Arabidopsis thaliana: one gene and its partners. The protein of the gene in region 3 interacts with the protein of the main gene of each other region in a pairwise test. Each region holds a gene or a part of one and is shown on either strand. Other genes may lie near its edges.

What was found.
Region 1: the proteins of HSFA3 (region 3) and SWI3B interact in a two-hybrid assay, tested with the Arabidopsis thaliana proteins (one large-scale study listed by BioGRID).
Region 2: the proteins of HSFA3 (region 3) and LSMT-L interact in a two-hybrid assay, tested with the Arabidopsis thaliana proteins (one large-scale study listed by BioGRID).
Region 4: the proteins of HSFA3 (region 3) and BRM interact in a two-hybrid assay, tested with the Arabidopsis thaliana proteins (one large-scale study listed by BioGRID).

The regions. Positions count from the first base shown.
Region 1 is NC_003071.7:14,227,018-14,232,225, reverse strand, and holds SWI3B (switch subunit 3), read right to left. Parts: upstream 3,255-5,208; 5' UTR 3,204-3,254; coding exon 3,041-3,203; intron 2,947-3,040; coding exon 2,537-2,946; intron 2,451-2,536; coding exon 2,040-2,450; intron 1,686-2,039; coding exon 1,559-1,685; intron 1,471-1,558; coding exon 1,340-1,470; intron 1,245-1,339; coding exon 1,077-1,244; 3' UTR 818-1,076; downstream 1-817. Other genes in the region: CRL2 (NAD(P)-binding Rossmann-fold superfamily protein), read right to left, coding at 3,728-3,860, 4,036-4,225, 4,321-4,486, 4,561-4,746, 4,820-4,989. UniProt on the Arabidopsis thaliana protein: Component of a multiprotein complex equivalent of the SWI/SNF complex, an ATP-dependent chromatin-remodeling complex, which is required for the positive and negative regulation of gene expression of a large number of genes.
Region 2 is NC_003070.9:4,804,634-4,809,249, reverse strand, and holds LSMT-L (Rubisco methyltransferase family protein), read left to right. Parts: upstream 1-1,732; 5' UTR 1,733-1,809; coding exon 1,810-2,273; intron 2,274-2,363; coding exon 2,364-2,392; intron 2,393-2,518; coding exon 2,519-2,730; intron 2,731-2,845; coding exon 2,846-2,968; intron 2,969-3,056; coding exon 3,057-3,461; exon of another isoform or gene 3,462-3,541; coding exon 3,542-3,757; 3' UTR 3,758-3,944; downstream 3,945-4,616. Other genes in the region: AT1G14020 (O-fucosyltransferase family protein), read right to left, coding at 4,139-4,406, 4,529-4,616. UniProt on the Arabidopsis thaliana protein: Protein-lysine methyltransferase methylating chloroplastic fructose 1,6-bisphosphate aldolases. Can also use with low efficiency gamma-tocopherol methyltransferase as substrate, but not a cytosolic aldolase.
Region 3 is NC_003076.8:970,424-976,252, reverse strand, and holds HSFA3 (heat shock transcription factor A3), read left to right. Parts: upstream 1-1,926; 5' UTR 1,927-2,569; coding exon 2,570-2,911; intron 2,912-3,443; coding exon 3,444-4,340; 3' UTR 4,341-4,625; coding exon of another isoform or gene 4,626-4,858; intron 4,859-5,079; 3' UTR 5,080-5,111; downstream 5,112-5,829. Other genes in the region: CTR1 (Protein kinase superfamily protein), read left to right, coding at 1-8, 98-182, 277-375, 609-677, 781-912, 1,027-1,121, 1,199-1,295; AT5G03710 (replication factor C large subunit), read right to left, coding at 4,626-4,858, 5,134-5,146. UniProt on the Arabidopsis thaliana protein: Transcriptional activator that specifically binds DNA sequence 5'-AGAAnnTTCT-3' known as heat shock promoter elements (HSE). Involved in heat stress response. Activated by DREB2A under heat stress.
Region 4 is NC_003071.7:18,920,938-18,925,821, forward strand, and holds the start of BRM (transcription regulatory protein SNF2), read left to right. Parts: upstream 1-1,595; 5' UTR 1,596-2,263; intron 2,264-2,339; 5' UTR 2,340-2,366; coding exon 2,367-2,540; intron 2,541-2,837; coding exon 2,838-4,112; intron 4,113-4,235; coding exon 4,236-4,884. Other genes in the region: AT2G45990 (ribosomal RNA small subunit methyltransferase G), read left to right, coding at 6-106; AT2G46000 (LDL receptor wingless signaling/trafficking chaperone), read right to left, coding at 257-436, 524-652, 793-1,110. UniProt on the Arabidopsis thaliana protein: ATPase subunit of a multiprotein complex equivalent of the SWI/SNF complex that acts by remodeling the chromatin by catalyzing an ATP-dependent alteration in the structure of nucleosomal DNA.

The DNA of each region.
Region 1 (5,208 bases), on a different chromosome or scaffold from region 3:
ATTTTTATTTTTTATATTGGGAAATTGTTTAGAATGCAGTATTAATATGTACATAATATATTATGGTTTATATTTTGAATTTAAGATGTAAATTGATCTTTTTAAAAAGAAAAAATAGAGTTTAAATATTTACGAAGAATGGATATTTACTGAATTTTTAGTTAAATATAAAAGATTTTATATTGTACGAGTTTAATATATAAATAAATTGGGTTTGGTTTCCCGATGGGGAAGAAAGAAAAATACACTCTCTTTGTTTCTAATAAATTGATGTTCTACCACTTTTAACTTGTCCCACAAAAAAAACATTTTCGTTTTTTCTTTATTTTTTTTAAATATCACTCACTCCTTTCTAAATTAGTTATGTTTTAGAAATTAAATTTTGTATTAAATTAGTTATCGTTTTATATTTTCAATGCATGTTTTTGAAAGATTTTCCAAAAGAAATTCTTATTGTTTTGGCTGATTAATTGATGATATGATATTAAATAACACATTAATTAGAGATAAAACAGAAAATTCAATGTTTTTTTAGTTTGTCTGAAAAACCTGAACTAGTAAAGTTCAAGATAAAATGATTGAAATTTGTTAGACTGCTATTGGTTTATAGTTATTGAAAATGTTTAATATAACAAACAATACAGAAATGATTAATTAATGACTGTTTCTTAATATAAAAACCATCACTCTTTTAGCAACAAAGAGAGTAATCATGTTACGGAGATACAAAAAAAACATCGGTAACTTAACAACATTTGAAGATTAACCTATTTAGTGAAAACAAAATCTATCTTTTATATCGGATATCTCCAAAACCCTGACATTTTCTATTGTTTCCAAAAGAGCAAAATTAATTTTTAAAACTTTTCCACTTGTGATTGCCTGATAAAGACAAAAATTATACTTCGACGCAGTTGCCATTTGGTTTTGACTTTTATACCAACCCAGCCTTATTTATACCAATTCGATCTCATCTCATTTTGTTACCAACACATCTCAAGTACACTACAATACAAGTCATCTTCTTAACCAGACAAGAATCAAATAAGAAATAACAGTTTCAAATTAAGTGCGTTCTAACACTCTATTCTATCTTCAGTTTTCCGGGCTTTTCTGGTGTGGAAGAAAATGTTTAATTGATCAACGAAAAGCAGATTCCTCACCTCCTCCAATTGTTTCCGGCTTCTCTCCATTTCCAAATCCAATTTCTCGAAATGAACAATCCTATCTCGGATCTTCTTCATCTGTTAATCCCAAATTTTGTTTGTTCCAACATAAATCATCATTGAGTATAACCATATAATAAAAAGTCTATGGAAAGTTGCAGATTGTTACTAACCTCAACTTCAACAGTCTCTTTGATTGCTCCTTCTACCTCATGCTCTTCCTTCTCAATTAAAGACTTTGCATCTGCCCAAGCTCTTTCAGATTCGTTTCTAGTGGTTTCACCACTCGATGCAGCATTGGCATCTGTGTATCAGGAAAACAAAACTGTCACTATTGGGTTTGGCTTAGGACAGAAATGGACTGCAAATAGAGACAGCTTGGTCTTTGATACCTTGTCGATTTGGGTCTCTACTGGCGTTTTTGTCAGCCTCGTAGTCTACATCAGATAAAGCTCTCACTGCCGCTCGAGCTGCTGCTTCTGCAACATTTGTGCCAGCCAAAGCTGAAAGAAAAGCAGCCTGAAGAGGACATGATAGGATAAATCTTATTCAGAGACAGCCAATGAAGCATAACAATTGAGGTGTGATAACACAGTACAGAATTATCTAACACATATTTGATTCTTAAATGCCTTATATATGTCAACTAGGGTTTGTTATTACTAGATTTCAAAGTAAGCCCCACAAGGTATTCTAGATTTAGGTTCTTTAAGGAGACAAAAACGCAAGTCGTGGAACAGCCTAGTGCAGACACTGGACTATTCTTCAGTAGCCTAACAATGTAAAAGCATTTCCACGCATGTTGAAGACTTATACAAATAAGATTAACATAGAGAGAGAACGCAACTACTCAAATTGTAGTGTCTTTCTAACCTGAGCCATTATTGGGTTGCTTGCATCTGCAAGAGGTGTTAATTTGATCCGCTTGTTGGGAGAAGAACCGTCTTTATCTATTCCTTCAGATTCAGGAATATCAGAGTCCTTGATCTGATCAAACATCTCTAAACCATCCTCAGAGTCAGACTCTTTTACAAACTGTTCCCCAAACGGAAGCTTGACAAACTGAGAAACACAATCCTTCTCCGTTCTACCAATAACATGCGATGCAACCTTCTTCCAATCATCTCCATAGTGCATAACAGCTTCCAGCAGCAGCAGAATTTCCTTATCAGACCACTCTGGCTTTGACTCCTCACTAATCTCAACTCGTTTAAACTCCGAGGAGTTAATACCAACACGATAATTACTACGAACATAGCACCTCGCACACAATGTCAAGTCATACTGAAAACAAAAATGTACATAATCATTCTAAGTGACAAACTCAGTGAATGAAATTATTACTATGGCTACAAATTATGAAATCAAACCTTATCACAGGCGAAACAAGCTATGCTGCAAATTGCTTTGCAGCCATTGCAGTTTCTCTTGGCAGTTTCTTTGACAGTTGTGGCTGGCTCAGAAGCAGCATCTCCGGCGGATTTTCCGGCCTCTTTTTCTTCCCACTTGAGCGGCTTAGCAGAGGCGGAGCTATTATAGTTGATAAGTCCCCATGAATCGAGGAAATCAAAGACGCGACGAATAGAGACAACATCACTGACGAGAGTTCTCCGAACGTCAGTGAAACTAATCTTCCGAGGATGGTCGTCTCTGTACTGCTTAATAATCGAGTTCCTCAAGTAGAGATAAAACTTAGGGTTTTTGGATGAAGATCTCGAATCGAAAAATTCCGGCAGTGACCGGACCTCGCAATCGTTAATGTCGGTCCATGAAAACCAACCTAATTGGTTAAATAGACGGTACAAGTACAAAATCCGTAAGAAACAGTGAAGAAAGTAGAATAAATCAAAGTTTTCTCGGCGTTGCAGACTTACTGGAGTAGCTAGGTACGTGAATATTATCGATATCGGAAGAAGAAGACGGCAATTGAGCCGACTTAGAAGCTGCTGCGGCGCCTCCAGACGTAGTTTCGGAAAGAGAGGGAGTGCTCGGGAGAATTTCCCCAGATCCGCCGGGATCGGGAGCTTTCATGGCCATGACTCTCTGTTTAACTAACGCAACTTCGCCGGAGAAGGAAGAGGGAAAAGAGAATCTAGCTATCGAGATGGGCAAAGTTAAAAAAAAAGTCGGATATCTAAACGGGCCTGGTTTGGGCCCTAATACAGGTCCATTAACCTGGCTTTAGTTGTTAAATATTGCGAATGTTTTTTTAGTCCCATGGTCAGCCAAGATGTAGTGCATCTGCTACGCTAGGCTTAGAGGTTAATTCGAATGGTGAAGTTGTGCGTTACTGATTTCATGTATTAATGGTGAAGTTATCCTTTGTAAGTAGGTAGAAATTGGAACGTATCAAAGAGATATTGGAACATAGTTATGGAAGGAGTAATTGTAGATTGGTCATAAAAGTAATGGTGTCTAAGAAAGTAACAAAAACTCAGAAGTTCATGATGGAAAATATGTTGCACAACTCTTATTCTTGAGTAAAAGATGAAAGAGCGTGTGCAGATAGGAACACTTAACACATGGACCCAAAACACTCATATGCTATTCGTTCCCAGTTTTCAGTCCACAAGCTTAGCTTTGCGGTAGCTCTCAACAGAATCCACAAGTGTTTCCTCCAACGGCCGGTAAGTCCAACCCAACTTCTGCAACTTCTCTGAACTCACCTTCACTTTTCCATCCGCTTCGATGTATCTGATATTGGATAAGTAGAATTTAGATCAAAGGTAAGGTCTAAAAGAAACTTCAGAGACATTGATGTAAAGGTAAGTGACACTGTTTACTGATGAAAGTAACAAAAACAGCTTATTAAGGTTTAAAGGTTTTCACTCAAATTGGGTAGAGAGATGTGCAGCTGTTGTTTGCTTACCTCTTTGGGTAGTTGTAATTTAGATAAAGACTTTTCAGCTTCTCAGCGACTTCTTGTTCCCTAACCGTGTGGCCTATGCAGATGTACCTTCCTTCAGCTTCTGCTTTCTCATAAACCAAAAGTAAAGCTTGAGCCACATCACGCACATCTACCAAATGCCGTTCTTGGTTATTACGCGATTCATAACCCTCTGCACCACACTTAAGTATAAAATCAATACCAACTCATATACCAAGTTGCTGCTTCTAACAATCCCAGATGAAATGAGAGGCTTGTTTATAATACCTTTAAGAAGCTTGAGAAGAACAAGGCTACTAGCATTTACTGTGTGCTGCTGCAATACAGGTCCCAAGACAAGGGTAGGGCAAACACTGACGAGATCAAGTCCGGTTCGTTTTGCAAATTCGAAAGCTTCACTTTCTGCTCGTGTCTTTGACAAAGAATACCAATTCTGCCAGAGGGACGAAAGTCAGATTTAAAAGAAGAAAAAAAAGTGAGATGAGGGATTCAAGATGCATTATTAACCTCAGTTTTTTTGCAATAATCTTGGTCAGACCAAGCGGTCTCATCTAACACTTGACTCTTTGACCACATAGGGTTCATAGCAACTGCAGATACAGAGGAAACATACACAACACGCTTAACTTTTGCTTCAACGCATGCCTTAAGCACATTCAGCGTACCATCCACTGCAGGTGCGATCAAATCTACCTGCAAAACCAGTGAAACCATAGTGAGACAATGCATATAGCCACCAATGAGATTGTAAAAATGAAATCCTCACCTCAGGATTAGGGACTGAAGCAGATGGAACAGGGCAAGCGACATGGAAGACGCCGCTGCAGCCAGCAATAGCAGATTGAAGAGAGCCGTAGTTGAGCAAATCAGCCTTGAAGAGCTTGAGTTTGTCACCAGCTTTATCAAGCTTCTTCAAATGAGCATACTTTTCATTACCTATAACAAGAACCATGCGAAACTCTTCATCAGAACAATAGACAAACTCAAAAGGCTTAATCTTCTGTCTGTAGACAGAAACATCGGAGCTACAAAAAGAATTGGGAATAGAAAACCTTAGAAAGTAGACGAAAGAATCAATTTTGACCAGGCTGAGCTACAAAAATTCGATGAACTAGAAATGCGAGAGAATAAAGGTTGACAATTTACAGAGGGAGA
Region 2 (4,616 bases), on a different chromosome or scaffold from region 3:
AGAGTCATGGAGACAATAGTGAGTAGTTGACAAGGAATCTGAGTCTCTCCTTATTAAATGTTAGGCATATACTGTTTGTATATAAAAGTTAATTAGCCATCCATTTTGACCTTCTCGAACTAAAGGAAGCCTTTTCACCTAGCCATAGAATATACATATACAATACCATTTGTAGTTAAATTTAATAACTATCCTATTTATATGAGTTTTTAAAAAAAAAAAAAAAAGAGTAAAGGTAAGATATCTGTTTGGCAACGAACTAAGAAAATATATTTTAGAGGGATGAATTTTGTTGACCAACCTGAATTGTGTCAATCCGACCACCACATCATGTCGTCATCCCGATATTGACCGCGTTTTGTGGTTTTCGTGAGAAGTGTTTTCTCAGTCTCTGATTTAAAATTGCGATTAGTGAGTTGTTTTTCAGGTTTACCACACGAGTTTCGGCGCGACAAGCGGTTCCGTTAGAAGAGTTTATGTTCTTGACATTTGATATTTTGTATGACAAATTAGTACTTATTACATTTTGACAAAGAAAAATACACTCTATTGAAACAGTCTAATTGCATATTAACAACTAAAACAGTCTTGTTGCCAATTTTGGAATTTTGAACAATTTTTGAAAGTAATGAAAAGTCATTCACGTGTCTCCCATCTCAAACTTAACACGTTATATTAGCAAAAGTAAACTGATCTTAATCAATATCGACGTTGTACCTTAATTTCATGGACCAAGTTATTGTCTAAAACTTAAAATAGCGGCCATTTCGACGGAAAAAAGTAGCAATAAACTTTGGTTTTCTCGTTAATAATTAAAGTTATATCAGAAACATATTTGGAATTGATCATAATCTTAATTAAGCCGAGAGAGTGTAATAGGTTTTGTTTTGTTTTTTGATAAGAGTGTAATAGGGTTTCTGATAGGTATCACATTACACATGTACCTTACTGGTCTCATATCCCGTGGTCAAGCCGGCAAAACAAGAGAAAGGAAAGTTCCGCTTTTACATGTGATTACTACGTACGTACCATTACCTATATTACAAAGTAAATTACTTGTCTTCTACGTTGATGGAGAATAGTGGATCATTGTACCCCCTAAATTACAAATTTAAGACTAATTTCTATTTGATTAAGAATAGTGAATAAGACTTGTATATTTGATTCTTCAATTACAATAAGTATTTTAGCACACAATTAAATATGAACTACTTAAACACATAATTAAATCAAAAACATTTGAATTAGACCACTTGATATTATGATGATGATGATGATTATGAAGGTATGTGTGATATGGTGGGTACATACTACATATATGTCTCGGCCAATCTCTTTTGTTGTTGTTGTTGTTGTTGTTGTTGTTGTTGTTGTTGTTGTTGTTGTTGTTGTAACATGTTGCATTATCTTGGAGGAATTTAGAATGAATATTGGGATCTCCATGAGATGTTACCTATTTAAAACTCAAGTGTCAAGTCAGTAGATTTGAGGTTGAAGCTATAGTTGACCATTTTTCTTCTTACAAAGGTTGAGATGACAAAAAAAAAAAAGAAAAAGAAGTTGAAGCTACCATAAGTTAAAAAGATAATTTTTTAAAAATGAAAATAAATACAGACAATTAACAATTTAATTACATCAGAACAAAAATAAAATGTAGGCCTTGGCCTTTTAGAATAATGGGCCTTTAACATTGGTAACTAGAATAACTAGATTTTTGTCTCATCAACAACTTAGAAAAAACTGATGTGATATTATTGTTATCCACACACTCTCTGTTTCACTGATACTACCCGCCATCGGAAAACCACCATGTCAGCCTCCGTCGCCGTCGTGTCGGGTTTTCTCCGTATCCCGTCAATTCAAAAGTCTCAAAACCCTTCCTTTCTCTTTTCTCGACCCAAGAAATCTTTGGTGAGACCCATTTCAGCTTCAAGCTCAGAGTTGCCGGAAAATGTTCGGAATTTCTGGAAATGGCTCAGAGACCAAGGAGTCGTATCCGGGAAGTCTGTGGCAGAACCTGCGGTGGTACCGGAAGGTTTGGGACTTGTAGCCAGGCGTGATATTGGAAGAAACGAGGTCGTATTGGAGATTCCCAAGCGATTGTGGATAAACCCAGAGACAGTGACTGCTTCCAAGATTGGACCTTTATGCGGCGGATTAAAGCCGTGGGTTTCAGTAGCTCTGTTTTTGATCAGAGAGAAGTATGAAGAAGAGTCTTCATGGAGAGTTTATCTTGATATGCTTCCTCAATCTACTGATTCTACTGTCTTCTGGTGGGTTTTGTCCTTCTCTGATCATCAATTGTATCTCTGATCAACACTAAGCTGATGAGATGTCTTCTTCGTGAAATGTCTCCAGTACAGGTCAGAAGAGGAGCTTGCTGAGCTTAAAGGTCCATTTTCTTACCCTTTTCTTTGAAAAGTCTGATCATTGTTTAGATTCATACCAATTGGTCTGAGTAGCAGTAGCTGATGATGATGTACATTATTAACTTTGTGGTTACTGTTGTTTGGCTCAGGGACTCAACTGTTGAGCACCACATTGGGTGTGAAAGAGTATGTGGAGAATGAATTCTTGAAACTGGAACAAGAGATATTACTGCCTAACAAAGATCTCTTCTCATCCCGCATAACACTTGATGACTTCATATGGGCGTTTGGGATCCTCAAGTCGAGGGCTTTTTCTCGTCTCCGTGGCCAAAACCTTGTCTTGATCCCTCTTGCAGACTTGGCAAGCTATCTTCTTGTTTCAGATATTGTCTAGTGAAAACTTCAGAAAATAATCTTCATTCATTGATGCTTGGCTCAGCAGAGAATCTCTGACTTCAATGTTTGAATTTGAACAGATAAACCATAACCCCGCGATAAAGACAGAAGATTATGCATACGAGATCAAAGGAGCCGGCCTTTTCTCTAGAGATCTCTTATTTTCCTTGAAGTCACCTGTTTATGTTAAAGCAGGTGAGCAGGTATGCTCCAAACACTGTCTACTTAGTTTTCTCCCTCAAGAGTGTAAGAACAAGCCCTTTAATACTGTTTGGATGATCTCTTCCATAGGTATACATTCAGTACGATCTGAACAAAAGCAATGCAGAACTTGCTCTCGACTATGGTTTTGTGGAATCAAACCCTAAACGGAACTCATATACTTTAACAATAGAGATACCAGAATCAGACCCATTCTTTGGGGATAAGTTGGATATTGCTGAGAGTAACAAGATGGGTGAGACCGGATACTTTGACATAGTAGACGGCCAGACTCTTCCCGCTGGTATGCTTCAGTACCTTCGGCTTGTGGCTCTTGGCGGTCCAGATGCTTTCTTATTAGAATCTATCTTCAATAACACCATATGGGGTCATCTTGAATTGCCTGTAAGTCGTACAAACGAGGAACTCATATGCCGTGTTGTCAGAGATGCCTGCAAATCTGCTCTGTCTGGTTTTGATACGACCATTGAAGAGGTATATATGTTCGAGCTCTTACTTGTACTGTCTTTGCAGCTTAACACTCATTTCTTACTCGTCTTCATCGTCTGTTGTAGGATGAGAAGCTTCTGGACAAAGGAAAGCTTGAGCCTAGGTTGGAAATGGCTCTCAAGATAAGGATTGGTGAGAAGAGAGTGCTTCAGCAAATCGACCAAATCTTCAAGGATAGAGAGCTTGAACTTGACATTTTAGAGTATTACCAAGAGAGAAGGCTCAAAGATCTTGGGTTGGTTGGCGAACAAGGGGATATTATCTTCTGGGAAACCAAGTGAGAATTAGCTTAGCTTGTATAGCTTATCCTGCAGAACAAACTCAAGGCTAGAAAGAAAATCTTTACTGGTTTGGTCTCAGACCACATAGACTTGAATCAACCTCAAGACATCAGAGTTGAGAGACCACAATTTGTATGTTAGGCTATTGCCAAAAGCAGGCTTTTTGAAATTCTATAAGATGAGACATAATCTTCTTTTTAGTTACATCTTAATTTACGTAAAACTAAATAAATCAAGATCAGCAACTATGCAGGAAAATTGAAAAAAATTACAAACAAAAATGGAAAAACTCAGGGAAGGAACTATGCAGCTCCCGTTCAAGTGTTTGACATGCCGTCCTCTTGCGGAAGCAATGAGATATAATATGCTAAAAACATGACTTCAATGTGTTAAATTTCTATGGCCAAACAGGTCGTGGCAATTTGTACCTTCACAAAGACATTCTTGAGGATTTGCGTAGAAGTAATCTTCCTCCTTAGGTTTGTCAGAGATTACTCTTCGATGAGTAGGTGCTCCTGCTCGTCTCTCATGGGCTTCCTTGACTGCTACTGCAAACTGATCCCACGTGAGGGTCTTGTTGTGATGTAAGTCTAGTAGCTCCACGAGTCTCTTACGGTCAAGCAGGATTGTCTTCTTATATCCAAGGTATCTGCAAATTCAAATCAGATATAGACCAATAATGGTTATATAGAATCACAGGTTTGGTTATTCTTAACACCACCTTTTTAGTTGTCATGAAATTGAATGCATTCGACACCACAAATAATTTACCTACGATGACCTTCCACGACTTTTGCCATGTTTCCATCATACGTAGGAATAAAAGTGTTGCTGGCCACAGATACCATGAAATCTAGAG
Region 3 (5,829 bases):
TTGTCAAGGTACAATTACTTGGATTTGGAAGGTTTGATGTACTGAGTGTAGAATTTTGGCCTATAATGACTCTAATACCATGATTTCTTTCAAACAGAGGTAGTTTATACAGACTTTTGCATAAAAGTGGAGCAAGGGAGCAATTAGATGAGAGACGTCGCCTGAGTATGGCTTATGATGTGGTATGTTTAATTCCTTATGTTACATGTATGGGTGATTACTTCCTGATCTTGGTGTTTCTTCACATGGAACTTTCTTTCCAATTCTCTGTCACAGGCTAAGGGAATGAATTATCTTCACAATCGCAATCCTCCAATTGTGCATAGAGATCTAAAATCTCCAAACTTATTGGTTGACAAAAAATATACAGTCAAGGTTTGAATCTAAATTAGAAATTGTTGTGTCCAATGTTTTGATTTTGATATTTTATTCCTCTTGTGAGACAAGCTTATATATAAATTATGATTTTTAATTCTAAATTGGTTTGGAGACATTACAAAAAGGCGTTAATCTGCTGAAACTTAAAAGATACAGCAGCCTCAAGCTGTCGTCTTAAAAACAATCAGAACATTATTATTCTAACTCCTCAATTTGTCTTGAAATTTCAGGTTTGTGATTTTGGTCTCTCGCGATTGAAGGCCAGCACGTTTCTTTCCTCGAAGTCAGCAGCTGGAACCGTAAGTTCAGTTTGTTTGAAACTAAAACACGCTGAACAACGTAACTTTCTTCTAGGTCCTATTTCCAATGGAAGCTAAATAATTACTGACTTTGATATATCAGCCCGAGTGGATGGCACCAGAAGTCCTGCGAGATGAGCCGTCTAATGAAAAGTCAGATGTGTACAGCTTCGGGGTCATCTTGTGGGAGCTTGCTACATTGCAACAACCATGGGGTAACTTAAATCCGGCTCAGGTACTTTCCACTCTAAACATCTCAAATAATAATGATATTATTTTGCATTTGGAAGTCCCTCACTCTACATTTCATAACATGCTATATATGATCATACAAAAAAATGTTCCATAGGTTGTAGCTGCGGTTGGTTTCAAGTGTAAACGGCTGGAGATCCCGCGTAATCTGAATCCTCAGGTTGCAGCCATAATCGAGGGTTGTTGGACCAAGTACGTTAAGATTTTCTATCTCTTTTTTGAATTCTTCTTGAATAGACTTCATGTTTATGTATGTGTTTCATTACCAGTGAGCCATGGAAGCGTCCATCATTTGCAACTATAATGGACTTGCTAAGACCATTGATCAAATCAGCGGTTCCTCCGCCCAACCGCTCGGATTTGTAAAATACCCCCGGTCCATTCAAAAGTTGTTATAATCATGATATGCACATATACTCTCAGCATTCTTTTGCTGCCCAGGAGGGAGACACTAGTTAAGATATAGCTTTAAAGGTACATTCCTCATGAGCTATCAATCATATCCTACAGAATCCCATGGTTTTTATACATGTATTATTTTTGCGATCTTTGTCTGCTGTTTTGTTCCCTTTTTAATGTTGCAGATTGTTAAAATGTACATGACTATTGTCACAGGGAGGAAAAAAAAATGTAGTAATGGAAACAATGTGAGGGATATAATCTATCTATCTAGTCCCAAAGGGTAAGCAATATTTTGTTGTTATGTCTTTGTAGCAATGCACTGAAAGCTATATTTAATTACATTGCTGTACATTTATACCGCTAAATTAGTTACTAAGCGAAGGTAAAAAAGAGCAGCTGGTAAATGCTGTCAAAGGGTTTTGCAAACTCAATATGATTCATTGGATTTACATTTGTTCACTGTGCGATTAGTCTGGACTATAAACCAACAGAAATGAAATAAGACTGTAACTTTCGGAGACTCTAATACAGATGAATATAATCCCAAATCGTTAAAAACGCATTGGGACTGAAAATATCTAGATACATAGTCAACTATTTTTGCCTTCGCGTCTAAGTAAGTTCCCACACTTGAAAACGACTTTACCTGTCTTCCGAATTAATCGTTTGATGGATCGGTAACCAATAGGATTGCGTAAATCAAAATTATACAATATTAAATTCTGAAAAAGGAAACACGAAAAGCGAATCAGTGATTTGTGAGGGCCCAGTTCCAAATTAGAAAGCTGACCTGGCAAACGCGCTAAATCACTCCTCCTTTCAAAAATCTCAAGATGACGTGGGACCCACCATCGTCACCACTTTCTCTCCTTCACCAAATCACAGAGAGAGAGAGCTAAGTGAAGCTGCAAGGAAACAACTTTCAATTTCAATGTCGGTTGTACAATTATTTGTCACTAAAGTTTCCAAATTTCTTCTAAACTGATGAATCAATGGAACATGATGACGAAAAAGATAAATCCACGGTGGCGGGAACTGACCCACCCATTTCCACCGCCTCTCTATTCCCCAGATTTTTTTCAATTATCTGACTACAGTTTGTCGGTTACTTCCTTCCCTAAACCTTTATAAACCATTAAACCTCTCATCCTTCTTCTCTTAAACCCCCTAATTATCACACACACCCCAATTTCTCACTCTCTCTCTCACTAAAACCCGTAAATTTTCTACTATATCAAATGAGCCCAAAAAAAGATGCTGTTTCTAAACCAACTCCAATTTCAGTACCCGTTTCGAGACGATCCGATATACCCGGGTCTCTCTACGTCGACACTGACATGGGTTTCTCTGGGTCACCACTTCCCATGCCACTAGACATCTTACAAGGGAATCCAATTCCACCTTTTTTATCCAAGACTTTTGATTTGGTTGATGACCCGACTCTTGACCCGGTCATCTCTTGGGGACTGACCGGAGCTAGCTTCGTAGTTTGGGATCCTCTAGAGTTTGCCAGAATCATACTTCCAAGGAATTTCAAACACAACAATTTCTCCAGCTTCGTCAGACAGCTTAACACTTATGTAATCATCTCTCTTGCTCTGTTTCTGTTTTCTAGATAGACTCATTCTTCTTCTTCTTCTTCTTCTTTCAGTTTTGTTTTGTTTTTATGTTTCTGTAATCTTTTTGATGACCAAAACCATTTTGTATAGATTCTTGAAACTCGTTTTTTGATAACTTGTAAAAAATTACCTGTAATTTTCTTTTCTTTTTGGGATTTGTTTAATCTCTCTATCATGTAACACTGAGTTTTGTATCTATGAAATTTTGGCCTCGATTGGATCTTATAATAACTTCTCATCTGAAATAAGCTTGTAATCTTGTATACTTATGGTTTCGTTTGAATGGAGAATTTTGGTTTATGAAGTTTTGTTATTTTCTCACAATGTTAACTTCAGTCTGGTTTAAGACATCATTACTCACATGTTCTTCACACTTCAGAGGTAGAATCTTTCTAATATCTTGAGATATTTGGTCTTGTCTTGATGTAAATGTGTTTACTTACTTTATCTTGAGCTTGTTTGAGTTGTTTTTTTGGGGTTGGAATGTTTCCAGGGATTTCGAAAGATTGATACTGACAAGTGGGAATTCGCTAACGAGGCTTTCCTTAGAGGCAAGAAGCATCTTCTGAAGAACATTCATCGTCGTCGATCACCACAATCCAACCAAACTTGCTGCAGTAGCACTAGCCAAAGCCAAGGGTCACCTACTGAGGTTGGAGGAGAGATTGAGAAGCTGAGGAAAGAGCGGCGTGCATTGATGGAGGAAATGGTTGAGCTTCAGCAGCAAAGCAGAGGCACAGCTCGACATGTGGACACTGTAAACCAGAGGCTGAAAGCTGCAGAGCAACGTCAGAAGCAATTGCTCTCTTTCTTGGCTAAGTTGTTTCAGAACCGGGGTTTCTTGGAACGCCTGAAGAACTTCAAAGGAAAAGAAAAAGGAGGAGCTCTTGGATTGGAAAAGGCGAGAAAGAAGTTCATCAAGCACCACCAGCAGCCTCAAGATTCTCCAACAGGAGGGGAGGTGGTGAAGTATGAAGCTGATGATTGGGAGAGATTGCTAATGTATGACGAAGAGACTGAGAACACCAAGGGTTTAGGAGGGATGACTTCAAGCGATCCAAAAGGCAAGAACTTGATGTATCCATCAGAAGAAGAGATGAGCAAACCAGATTACTTGATGTCCTTCCCATCTCCTGAAGGACTTATTAAACAAGAAGAGACGACATGGAGCATGGGTTTCGATACTACAATACCGAGTTTCAGCAACACCGATGCATGGGGAAACACAATGGACTATAATGATGTCTCAGAGTTTGGTTTTGCTGCAGAAACAACAAGTGATGGTTTGCCTGATGTCTGCTGGGAACAATTTGCTGCAGGAATCACAGAGACTGGATTCAACTGGCCAACTGGTGATGATGATGATAATACGCCAATGAATGATCCTTAGGATCTTTTCATATATAGTTTAGACCAAAAACCCGTTTCTTATCGGGTGAACTATTAATTCATTATTCATTTTGAATGCACTCTTTATACATATATATAATATTGATGAGTTTGATTGTTCCTTTCTTATTCACTTAATCCAGGGTCTAATAACATTGATTATGAAGGATATATAACACAAAATTATGCTTTTATCTGCTTGAGTAATTAAAATTTTTGCAGGTCTGAAGTGGAACAATGTTTCTTTAAAAGGATTTTTCTCTCTGAAGCTGTCTGGTTTAATCATTTATGTCCCAGGTACGAATGCAAAAGCTCTTTCCTCTCTCTCTCTGTCTTCTTCTTCTTCTTCTTCTTCTTCTTCTTCTTCTTCTTCTTCTTCTTCTTCTTCTTCTTCTTCTTCTTCTTCTTCTTCTTCTTCTTCTTCTTCTTCTTCTTCTTCTTCTTCTTCTTCTTCTTCTTCTTCTTCTTCTTCTTCTTCTTCTTCTTCTTCTTCTTCTTCTTCTTCTTCTTCTTCTTCTCCTTTGCTTGTCTGTTGGGGTATGTTTTGTGTCTTGATTGAAGGAATTTGTACCGGTTTATAACAGATTTATAAACTAATTACAAATTCAATAGCCAGTATTCATGTAATCTCGTCTCACGTTTAGCTAACCTGACGATTACACATAGAAGAAACGGTAGGAAACGAAGAAAAATGATGAAACCAAAAGATTTTTTTTAAAAAAAGAAAAACCTAAATGCAGGAAACGAAGCGCAGAGAACGAAGAAGAAGAAGAAGGAAGATAGGAGATTTTTACCCCAGAACTCCATTGTCTTGAGAGGTACTGTGACCTGAAGGAGACGATGCGTCAAAGAAGAAAGTTCTCGAAGAAGATGATAGCGGTTTCGTCTCTCGAGCGCAGTTTTTACTTTTTAGGGCGTGAACTTGCCGTGAAGTGAAGGCTATTAATCGGACCAAGGGATTTTAGGGCATGTCCCTGTCATTTAAATCTATGCAAATCGGTTATATTCATACTTTGAAATTTTACTATCAAAAAGTTGATATGGCCGAGTTGGTCTAAGGCGCCAGATTAAGGTTCTGGTCCGAAAGGGCGTGGGTTCAAATCCCACTGTCAACATTAATTTTTTCTTACTTGGGCTTATTTAGTTTCGGCCCATCGAATATAGATTGTTGCAAGTGAATCTAGCAGGCCATTATAATGAAATTAAAAATTAACAGTGGGCTTTAAATGCCCATTTTGATATAAAATATATGATGACTGCAAAAATATTCGAAATCAGAAAATTAAGACCAAATGAACATATTCAGTGAATAGTCTGTTAGATGCCATATAGTCAAATCTTAAACTTACTAAGATATTCATGTGATTTGTTTGGTATGGATCGATCCTTTTAATACCTTTTTCTCAAAGCAAGTTGGAAAATTAGAGTTCTTAATGGAAATGTCAACAATTTTTCCAATCAATTACCTAGAAAAAAACATTATAACTCCT
Region 4 (4,884 bases), on a different chromosome or scaffold from region 3:
AACAGGAACCTGGGGATACAACACTGAGAAAGAGAGAGCTGAAGCAGCAGGCATTCCCAGGATTCAGGTTATTGAGCTCTCCACGTTTAGCAATAAGCTTAAATGAGTGCATATACTCATTGGAAAAGAAACAAAGCTTTCCTCTTTATTGTATTCTACGGCATTCAACGGAAACTAAAAACCAAACATGTTTAGGTAAGATTCAGTAAAAGAGTTGAACTTTCAGTACTACCCATTATAGAAGCTTTTCTGTGACCTATAATTCATCCTTAGTAAGATCATTCTTGTTACCATCACCATCTTCGTGATCTTTCCTTTGCTCAGCTTGAAATTTGTCAAAGACATCTTCAAATGGAGGATCTCCAGGTCTTCTAAACTCTTGCTTCCCTATCTTGACCTCGTAAGCTTCTTCTTGGCTCAGCACGAATTCCCTTAGCTAATTGAAAGATATGATTGTGATGTTAGATTTTGACTAATCCACTAAACAAAGTTTTCAGCATTGTGTGTTTTCTGTGGCTTTTACCTCAGTCACAAGCTTCCCATTTTGCATATTGAACATCACTGTGCTTCGATCTACAGCCATGAATCTTACTCCTATCCCTCCTGTTCTTAAAACTTTTGTCCATTTCATAGCAATATCAATCACCACATCCTGATTGAAACATATAAACAGATCACTATTCAATCCCCTGAAGCAACTGGACCCATATCGAATTCAGAGAATTTTGAACAGTAACTGAAACTATAACTTAAGGACCCCAAATTCACGATTCGATTTGGATTTTAGTTTACCTTGGTACGGGGGACGCCTAACCGGAGCTTGACGAAACCGACGACGGTTCCAAAAGTCCGTTTAGCCATTTCCTCTTGGATCTGATCGAATCCCATATTGGTGAAATCCGGAGGCGGATCAAATTCCGGGGTCGTTGCTTTCTTCCCCCACTCTTTCCATGACTCGTCTTCTTCATTGTCTTCAACGTCGTCTAGGTCATCGGAGATCTCGATCCGTCGCTTCGTTGCTTCGGCGATCCGGACAAATCCGTGAAAATTCATAAAAAGAAGGAGGCCAACAAGTAGAATCAGCGAAGAAGAACGAACGATCTTCTCCATCGTTTAACAAATTTATTCAGGAATCAGAAACAGAGGAAGAGAGACTGCATCGGCAACGGCATTTCTATATCAGTAAAGCTTCTACAAACTCGCACACAAGTCACAAAACCATAATAATGTGACTTTTTACTTGTTTCGGGAAAAAAAACTATTAACGACATAAACTGAACCTGCTGGTTCAAAACTGTTCGCCGTTTTTCTATCTTAAAATAGAACTGCGTGCCAACTATTGACGTAAAGATGGCAAGCATATCAAGGCTGAAAGATGAAAACGACACGAGGTTGCACCGTAAATAAAACAAGGGTAATTGTATGATTCTCTCTAATCTACTACTGCACTACAGAAGGTAAAACTAAAAGTCAAAATTTGTCTAATTTTAAATTCAAATTAATTAATCAAGTAAAACAAACATAAGTCTAATTTGATTTCCAAATTTGTTTTTTTTTTTCTTTTTTTGATTTCCAAATTTGTTTATAGTAGTATCATTTTAGTATTCTTATTACCCAATACGGAAACAAATATTTGAAATAAACATGGAAAAATTAAAAGTCATTCCATTTGGTTAACAAAAGGAACGTTTGGTAAATTCACACGTGTCTCATCGTCATTTGTGCAACTGACTTGTATAAGGAAGGGTACTTGTGGTAATAAAAGCGAAAACCGAGGGGTGGCCTCGTGAAACGCATTTTCCGTGTTCCAACTGTATCGAGGCGTGGGACCTACAATCAAAAATAAAATAAAATTAATGCCCCTTCCAAAAAAAAAAAGAAAGAGAAAAAAAAGAAAAAGGGAAGTAAGAAGCCAGCTAGGGTTTGACTGCGAGAAATTTCTGATCTGCGTGAATTTCTCAAAGAGAGGAATCGATCATCGATTCCGTGGATTTCGTTTCCCTCCCTTTTTATTTTTATTTTTCGAGAAGCCATCTCAAAGGATCTGAGTTTATACCGTTGCATCCCCCGCGACTTTCGTTTTCCGATTTCCCCCAAATTCGATGCAAATCTAAGAAGAGAGAGAAATAGAAAGGTGTGTGCGCTTCAACCGACTCAGTGTCTCTCTCTCTCTCTCTCTCTCTCTCTCTCTGTTGCTATTTGAGGTTTTTTCCTTTGCCTCGGGGGCTCTCGCTGTCCGAATTCTTTTGTAGGGATTTATTGGGTAGGGTTTTTCCACTTTTTTTTTGTCTTCTTCTACTAGCTTCGTTGTGCATTGGGTTTAATTGTTTCCAGTGTAGTGACTGTCAGATTCTTCGACCAATTGCATGCAATCTGGAGGCAGTGGCGGAGGGCCCGCTCGGAATCCGGCCATGGGTCCGGCTGGTCGGACTGCTTCCACGTCATCCGCTGCTTCTCCTTCTTCTTCCTCTTCATCTGTGCAGCAGCAGCAACAGCAACAGCAACAGCAGCAACAGCAACAGCAGCTGGCGTCTAGGCAGGTAAAGGATTCTCAAGTCTCTGTTTGGTTCGTTATGACTTAGGAGGGATAAAATGCTTGTTTGTAGTGGCTAATGTTTGTCTGTTAAACTTGCGGCTATTCAATTTTAGTGGGACTTGACTGTTTATCAATTCTGTGTAAAAGGAAAGTAACCAATATCTTTAAATTGAAGTTGTGTAATGGTAGCCACTTGGAGAACATGTTTTGTTCATTTCCACATATATATATAGTTGCTCTGAATTGTGGATTATTGTTCATTTGATTGTTACTAATTATTATCGTGCTTCTGATATGGCAGCAGCAGCAGCAGCACAGAAACTCAGATACAAACGAAAATATGTTTGCATATCAACCTGGTGGGGTTCAGGGAATGATGGGCGGTGGCAACTTTGCTTCGTCTCCGGGCTCTATGCAAATGCCTCAGCAGTCTAGAAATTTTTTTGAGTCTCCTCAGCAACAACAACAACAACAACAACAGGGTTCTTCTACCCAAGAGGGCCAGCAAAATTTTAATCCAATGCAGCAAGCGTATATTCAGTTTGCTATGCAGGCTCAGCATCAAAAAGCACAGCAGCAAGCTAGGATGGGAATGGTGGGTTCATCAAGTGTGGGAAAGGATCAAGATGCACGAATGGGAATGTTGAATATGCAAGACTTGAATCCGTCTAGTCAGCCCCAGGCCTCATCATCGAAGCCATCGGGCGATCAGTTTGCTCGCGGTGAAAGGCAGACTGAATCAAGTTCTCAGCAAAGGAACGAAACAAAATCTCATCCTCAGCAGCAGGTGGGTACCGGACAACTAATGCCTGGAAATATGATAAGGCCAATGCAAGCACCACAGGCTCAGCAGCTTGTCAATAACATGGGAAACAACCAACTCGCATTTGCACAACAGTGGCAGGCAATGCAGGCATGGGCGCGTGAGCGTAATATCGATCTCTCACATCCTGCCAACGCCAGCCAAATGGCACACATCCTTCAGGCAAGAATGGCTGCTCAACAGAAAGCTGGTGAAGGCAATGTGGCCTCACAGTCACCATCTATTCCAATCTCTAGCCAGCCGGCTTCATCTTCGGTTGTTCCAGGTGAGAATTCACCACATGCCAACTCTGCTAGTGATATCTCTGGGCAGTCAGGATCAGCGAAGGCCAGACATGCATTATCTACTGGCTCATTTGCCTCGACTTCCAGTCCCAGAATGGTCAATCCTGCTATGAATCCCTTCTCCGGCCAAGGGAGAGAGAATCCAATGTATCCTCGACATTTAGTTCAGCCTACAAATGGGATGCCCTCAGGAAATCCCCTGCAGACTTCTGCAAATGAGACTCCTGTTTTGGATCAGAATGCATCTACAAAAAAAAGTTTAGGTCCTGCTGAACATTTGCAAATGCAGCAGCCTAGGCAACTGAATACACCGACTCCAAATTTAGTAGCGCCATCTGATACTGGTCCACTCAGTAACTCGTCCCTTCAGAGTGGACAGGGGACCCAACAAGCACAGCAGCGATCAGGATTTACCAAACAGCAACTCCATGTTCTCAAAGCCCAGATACTGGCATTTAGGCGTTTGAAGGTTTTCAGCTCTGACTTTTTCCTTATGTCTTCATTTTTATTGTATGTTTTGCTGGAGATGTATGCCTATAAATAACGTGTCTGCAAGCCAGGTTGAATGTTTTTAATTGCTTTTTTTTGACAGAAAGGGGAAGGTTCTTTGCCTCCGGAGCTTCTTCAAGCTATTTCTCCACCACCGCTTGAACTACAGACGCAGAGGCAAATATCTCCTGCCATAGGGAAAGTTCAGGATAGATCTTCAGACAAAACTGGAGAAGACCAAGCAAGGTCGCTAGAGTGTGGCAAGGAGTCTCAGGCTGCTGCTTCTTCAAATGGACCAATTTTTTCTAAAGAGGAAGATAATGTTGGAGATACAGAAGTAGCTTTGACGACAGGCCACAGCCAATTATTTCAAAACCTGGGAAAAGAAGCTACTTCTACTGACGTGGCTACGAAAGAGGAGCAACAGACTGATGTATTCCCTGTTAAGTCAGACCAAGGAGCAGATTCTAGTACTCAAAAGAATCCTAGAAGTGATTCTACAGCTGATAAGGGAAAGGCTGTTGCATCTGATGGAAGCCAATCTAAGGTTCCTCCACAAGCAAACTCTCCCCAGCCGCCCAAGGATACAGCCTCTGCCAGGAAATATTATGGACCGTTGTTTGATTTTCCCTTTTTCACTCGAAAACTTGACTCTTATGGGTCTGCAACAGCCAATGCCAATAACAATCTCACATTAGCATATGATATTAAAGATCTGATTTGTGAAGAAGGTGCAGAGTTCCTTAGTAAGA